2 linked regions of the Oryctolagus cuniculus genome follow. The protein of the gene in region 2 purifies or fractionates together with the protein of the main gene of each other region. This does not show direct contact. Links are inferred from orthologs where the notes say so. Each region holds a gene or a part of one and is shown on either strand. Other genes may lie near its edges.

Evidence for each region.
Region 1: the proteins of NEK2 (region 2) and ANAPC1 purify together in Homo sapiens (affinity purification with mass spectrometry; 3 studies listed by BioGRID and IntAct, with this or other methods). This does not show direct contact. The link is inferred for Oryctolagus cuniculus from reciprocal best matches to the Homo sapiens genes NEK2 and ANAPC1.

The regions. Positions count from the first base shown.
Region 1 is NC_091433.1:113,103,610-113,107,426, forward strand, and holds part of ANAPC1 (anaphase-promoting complex subunit 1), read right to left. Parts: coding exon 3,728-3,817; intron 1,495-3,727; exon of another isoform or gene 1,380-1,494; intron 607-1,379; coding exon 555-606; intron 365-554; coding exon 264-364; intron 1-263. UniProt on the Homo sapiens protein: Component of the anaphase promoting complex/cyclosome (APC/C), a cell cycle-regulated E3 ubiquitin ligase that controls progression through mitosis and the G1 phase of the cell cycle.
Region 2 is NC_091444.1:26,241,630-26,244,825, forward strand, and holds the end of NEK2 (serine/threonine-protein kinase Nek2), read right to left. Parts: intron 1,447-3,196; coding exon 1,220-1,446; 3' UTR 683-1,219; downstream 1-682. UniProt on the Homo sapiens protein: Protein kinase which is involved in the control of centrosome separation and bipolar spindle formation in mitotic cells and chromatin condensation in meiotic cells.

The sequences.
Region 1 (3,817 bases), on a different chromosome or scaffold from region 2:
TTAATATCAACAAAATTATTTCTTATATAAACTGACCAAAACCTCTCAGAAAACTTCATAATTCACTTCCTTAAATAACTGAAGTTTTTAATGCAAAGGACAGAAAAATGCCAGTTACTAAAGCGGTCAAAATTCAGTTGTCATATTTGAGTAAAAAGTCTTGATTTCTATAAGACATGAGACATAAGGCCTACCTCTAAAACCAGCTAATTAAAAATGTTCCCCAACAAAACACACAAACAATCTGAAACACTCAAGTTTACCTGAAATGGTAAGGAAGCTATGTAATCCTTTCCTTCTATGCTGTGCATGTTAATACATGAGCTTTGCAATATACATATGCATTTTTCTACTTCATAGCTACCTGAAAAGACAAAGTATAATGTTTATGGATTTTTTTTCCTAAAGAGCTCAATCCTAACAGAAGTTCTTTAATACACAATATAAAATGCTTAGGCTTAACTAACCACTGTTGTGAGTGGCTACTTACTTTGAATTAAAAAAAAATCAAGAATCACCGTTAAGAGAAATAAAAATTTCAAAAAGAAACTTACTGTAGGTCTTTTCAGACTTATCCTGTGATATAATGAAGTCACACCACAATGCCTAAAATCAAAACAAAATTGATCTAAATAATAATCTATTAATAGCATCTACATAATAACTTTGTTTCTTCCTCAGCACAATATGTATACCATGGGAACAAAAAAGAAAGAAAATTAGACTAATTAATGATAAATACTGTAAGGAAGGCTAAACCACGTACGTAATTAAGTTTTAGAAGAAAAGACAATCAAAAAACCTACCAGAAAGAAGCCTGTGGCACAATCTGTCTTAAACCCTGCATCCCTCACAAAACTAGACTATCTGAAGAGTCCAAGTTGGCATTTATTAGCTCCAAGCTTACCAGTTGGTCTTACTCTTAACAGTCCCTAGACTCATTTTAGAAAAATATCTCCGAAGCCAGGAGCCAGGTGCTTCCTCCTGGTCTCCCATGCGGGTGCAGAGCCCAAGCACTTGGGCCATCCTCCACTGCCTTTCCGGGCCACAGAGAGCTGAGACCTGGACTGGAAGAGGAGCAACCGGGACAGAATCCAGCGCCCCAACCGGGACTAGAACCCGGGGTGCTGGCGCCGCAGGCGGAGGATTAGCCTATTGAGCCGCGGCGCCGGCCTAGTTCAATATTTTTTAATTGTACTATCTGATGGTATGAAATACATTCACAATATTGTACAACCTTGCCACTATTCATTTCCAAAACTTTTTACTCATCCAAAACAAAAACCTCACCTCTTACACAGTAACTACCATTTCATCCTCACCCCAGCCCTGGTTAACCTGTATTCTACTTTCCCTATAAATGTGCCTATGCCAGATACCTCATATAAGTGAAATTGCACCGAAGTTGTCCCTTTGGGTCTTGCTTGTTTCCCTTAACATAATGTCTTCAAGGTTCATCCCTGCTGTAGCACACATCAAGAACTCCATTCCTTTTTTTACAGCTGAATTTTTCCAGTTTGCATATGCTATGTTTTACTTATCAGCTCTTGATGAATGTGTAGTCTGTTTCTACCTTTTATCATGAATAATGCTCTTACGAACATTAGTGCCCAAATAACCTGTATGAGTGCCTGCTTCCACTTCTTCAGCGTATATCCTTAGAAACACAATGGCTGGATCATGAGGTAATCCTAACGGAACATTCCACAGCAGTCAACATTCTCACCATCAATGCACAGGGTTCCAATTTCTGAACATTCTCATGAACGCTTGATATTTTTCTGGTTTTTGGAAAATAGCCAACCTACAGTGGTATTTCATTGCGGCTTTAATTTGTATTTGTCTAGTAATTAGCAATGCTGAGCACCTTTCCATGTGCTTATTGACCATCTGTATATCTTCTTTAGAAAATGTTTTTTTTCCCCTTTTTTAATTGGATTTTCTTTTTGTTGAGTTGTATTTTTAATGGCACATTAACAGATGAAAATTCAGGAAGAGAAATATCCAAGAGAACTGTGCTACAATCTGAAGTATCTAAAATCTATACTGCACCTATTACACCTCAACTCCTTTTATGAAATCCCATCCTCAGGGGCTGGCACGGTGGTGCAGCGGGTTAAAGCCCCAGCCTGAACCGCCAGCATTCCTTATGGGTGCAGGTTCGAGTCCCAGCTGCTCCACTTCTGAGCTAGCTCCCTGCTAACGTGCCCGGGAAAGCAGCAGAGAATAGCCCAAGTCCTTGGGCCCCTACACCCACGAAGAGACCTGGAAGCAGCTCCTGGCTCCTGACTTCAGATCGGCTCAGCTCCACCCGTTGAAGCCATTTGAGGAGTGAACCAGTGGATGGAAGACCTCCCTCTCCTCTCTCTCTCTCTCTCTCTCTCCCTCCCTCCCTATCTGTCTTTTTTTTTTTTTTTTTTTTGGACAGGCAGAGTGGACAGTGAGAGAGAGAGAGAGAGAGAGAGAAAGGTCTTCCTTTGCCGTTGGTTCACCCTCCAATGGCCGCCGCGGCTGGCGCGCTGCGGCCAGCGCAGCGCGCTGATCCGAAGGCAGGAGCCAGGTGCTTTTCCTGGTCTCCCATGGGGTGCAGGGCCCAAGCACCTGGGCCATCCTCCACTGCACTCCCGGGCCACAGCAGAGGGCTGGCCTGGAAGAGGGGCAACCGGGACAGAATCCGGTGCCCCGACCGGGACTAGAACCCGGTGTGCCGGCGCCGCTAGGCGGAGGATTAGCCTAGTGAGCCGCGGCGCCGGCCCCTATCTGTCTTTACCTCTCTATATAACTGTCTTTCAAATAAATAAAATAAATCCTTTAACAAAAATCCCTTTCTCTTGGTCCCTGAAATAAATATGCTAAGATCTCTTTTATCCCTGATATCTAAAAGATCACTAGCCCCCTTCACTTCTCCCTCAGTTTTGATTCACACTTGTGTCAACACTTTCTCCAAGACACCCATCTCTGAGCTGAACTACCACAAACCAGTGTCCCTGACAAGTCTCCCTACACTCCAGTCAACCCTACATGTTCTTTCATGTTTAGCAAGTAATCCACAGGGTGATAGCTTAGTGCCATGGTAACATTCTTTCACCCTACTGTATTAGTATTCATTTACAATTCTGGCCTGAATCAATTACACTGGAGTTTATAAAATGGTGTTCTTCTAATTCCAGCGTTCCTTCTGTGTGCATTAGCTGGATTTCTTGTGTAAGTTTTCCTCCGACTAATAAAGATGAATCACACACCTTCCTGAGAAGACACAGCAGATGCTTATTTCTTCCCTTGAATCACCAATTTTCAGAACACGGGTGTGACAGCCAACTACACTGGTTACAAGCCAGATTTCTTTTTTCTTTCTGAGTATCATTATGAGCTCAATTTTTACTTATCCAACATTTTTCAGTAAATTATAATAATCACATGTTAAAAATATTTTATAGCTTTGGTGTCTTATAAACTTTGGTTGATAACAACAAATAGAATACCCAAGAGCAAAGTGTTTAAAGATTTTCATCGACAAAGGAGTAAAAAAGTATAAAGAAGTGATGATATAGAAAATAAAATGAAATTATAAAATTTCCTGCCATTGTCTTCACTGTATGTTAGAATGCGCTATACCAACTGCTGGGATCATGATACTATTTTTATCATTTCTGCTCAATTTCATAACAAAAATTTATTTTTAAAAGAGTAACTCGTGAATCACACACTAAAATTCCAGTCAACTCACCTGCTGAACAGGACTGTCAACTGTGAACGCTTTATAAACTGCCAGAGCCTGGCTCTTACTTCCTTTGCTCCAGATCACCATATTTCCAGC
Region 2 (3,196 bases):
GTCAAAATGGTCCCCTAGGCATACACCATAAAGGCACCGTCAGTTTCTGATGGTTTGGATAACGTCATCACTTGCCTTTGGTGGGATTACATTACCAATTGTGTAACACATAAAGGAGCTATTTCCTCTTCCTTCTTGAGCTTTCACAATTTGGTCTTATTGTACAAAAGGATTAACACTGCCCACAAAACACCACATGGAAAACGCGATGGACCACAAGGACTGCTAACGCACACTAAAAGGCAGACGTATTTTTAAAACACTCACCAACGTCCAAACTGAGTTTGCTCCCAGGGGGTGGGGGGGTGTGCCCCAGCAGGTTCCGGCTCAGGCTGGGTCCCTGCAGGGGCCGTTGTGGAAGCCGTCGTCGGGGCTGGCTGCCCTGTGCACTGCAGGGGCTGCGCGACACGCCCACTCTCTGCCCCCCGCACCAGCAGCAACGTCCCCAGTGATGACCATCAGCAGGGTCTCCAGGCCAAACACCCGCAGGAGCAAATCATGCGGTTCAGGACCCCTGGCCTCCGTGCCCCAGGGAGGCGGCTCGTGGGGAGCCACGCCCACGGAAGAGCAGAGTGGCCTCTTGACATCAGAGTCGCGTTCTCTTCCCTACTCTACAAGGCCCCTAAGTTACAAACACGCTTCCCTCTATCCTACTGAGATCACAGAATCCAGGAGACAGAAGCAAAACGGAAGGACTCTTTTATTTAGTGGCCAACGGTGGGGGTGAACAGCAGAGAACAAAAGGGACCAAAAGAGCAGTCATCCCAGCCACGAGCTCACAAAGGTAACGGCTCGCACTGCACTGGCACAGTCGGGAGCAGGATGCGCTGGTACAGTGACTGAATTACATTCAATTCAGCTCTCTAAGTTCAAGGACATCCAAAGTCTCACCCTTAAAACTACACACGGCAACTGTTCAGCGCAGCCCGCAGACATTCAAGATGCCCAGGACGTGCCACTCCTGCGTGCGTGTGTTTTCCCCTGAGATCTAGAACGCTACAGCTCACGCTCCTAAGCAGTAGTCACGGCACGCACAGGATTAGACGCCAGGTTTGGAAGGAAGGAAGACACAGCCCAGGCGCTCGTACAGCGGCTGCTGTAGAATAGCACGGCGACTCTGAAGCATCAGGCTCACGACACGCAAAGCCACGGCTCGTGGCCCAAGCACAGCAAGCGGCAGCAGCTGGATGTCCATGGTTAAGGGGCTGGCGCGCACGGCCTAGCGCATGCCCAGGATCTGTCTGCTCTTGAGCTGGTAGTTTTTCTCAATATCCGACAGGGCCTGAGCCCGCAGCTGGGCAGCGTGCAGCCTCCTCTTCAAGTCCTTGCACTTGGCTTTGGAGGTGAGATGGCTCTCGGGGTCCTCACTCCTCCCGATGTTCTCTTTGCTTTCCCCACTGAAATGAACCTTCTTCTTAATTACTGAGGATGGAAGATCGAGAAGCTCTTTAGAAAGAAAAGGAAAAAGAAAAGAAAAGGGTTGTGAGTTACTTGAATGGGAGCTCCACTCCTGCGTACTCACCACACTTAGCACAGGACGGCCACTCCCGGGGTGCAGCTGGAGGTCCGCGGTCTCTGGGCCGGCAGGAATCCACCGCACTGAAAACCAACCCTGGAGTGTGTCCACATCAAGGAACATGTGTCTACTCTCTCACCGGCAAGGCGGCAAGGCGCAGGGGCCATGGCCACAACATCAGACTTCTGGAAGCCAGTGTGATTTATTGCTATTCTTAAAAACAACGGCCATTCTATGCAAGACGTCACACTCAGAAAGGCATAGCCGCAGAAGCTCCTTTTTTACAGATTTAAGTGTTCAAGAACCCTCAGCTCAAAGCAGTTTAATCCACCAGAAACTTATTTCAAAAAGAGCCTAAGCCAATTCAGCGTGAGAAAGGAAAATCCAGGAGCAGAGCAGTGGAAAAGGAGGCCTGAGCTTTGTATGCGACCCAGACCAATCCCATGCATGCGGACTCGGGACACTGCTCCCAGAAGACGGACAGACCAGGTCGGGGGCTGGGGGCGTGCAGGTTCAGAATCCAGAACCTTGTTATTGCTCCTCTGTGTGCCCTTAGAGGAAATGTGTTCAGGTATTTACTGAACTCACAGCATGGGGCATTGGGAGCCAAACAAAGACCCAATCCTAGCGGGAGGAGGCCGCCCATAAACAAATGAACAAGTGCAGAGGGGGAGTGAGTGACAGCGTCACGTGCAGTGGGACAGACGAACTGGGCGGTGGCTGTGGTGACAGAAAAAGCCTCCTACTGAGACTTCTGGGGGAAGATCTGATCAAAGTGAGGCGGTCAGAGGCACGGGCCATCGGGCCATTGGGCTGAGGAGTGCTTCGGGCCGGTTGCACCCACTTCGGGTGCGGGAGTGCTCCAAGTGTTTAGAAAAAGAATTCCTGTTTCACAAGGGCTGTCGTGGTGTCGTTGTGGTGCGGTGGGTTAAGCTGCCACCTGCAGTCCGGCATCCCATATGGGCACCAGTTCAAGCCCCGGCTGCTCCACTTCCCACCCAGCCCCTTGCTAATGGCCTAGGAAAGCAGTATAAGACGGCCCAAGTGTTTGGGCCCCTGCATCCACGTGGGAGACAGGGAGGAAGCTCCTGGCTCCTGGTTGGCCCAGCCCTGGCCATTGCAGCCATTTGGGGAGTGAACCAGTGGATGGAAGGTATCTCTTTTCCTGTCTCTCTTCTCTCTCTGTAACTCAGCCTGTCAAACAAATAAATAAATCTTTTTTTAAAAAAAATAGAAGAATGGGTATTCCGCTAAATGGACAAAGAATGATTTTTAAGAAAAGCTGCCGAGGCTCATGGTGTTGAACTGGACAGACTCGTGATGTCTTCCGCTCGTCTGGATCCTGTAGGCCGAGGGTGGGGTGAGGGTGTTTCCTGCTGTCCTGAGGTCACAGGATCGCCCACTCCTCACGGCCCCGGTGTGCATCTCATGTTCTGAGCGGCTCAGCGCCTTCGGTGCCTCCCAGCCCAGCGGAGTCACAGCTCCCACAGCTCATTTTAAGTACTGGCCGTGATTCACACACAGTGGATCCCACACCTACCCCTGTGTCCTATAGGGTGAACCCCCATCCTTATCGAGCTATTTTCACCCTCTGGTCAACTCCTATGCGGGCAGGATGTAAGCAACCCCGGCTGAGGGCCTGCAGCCGCTCCCACGCGGAGGCTCCCGCAGGTGTGATTC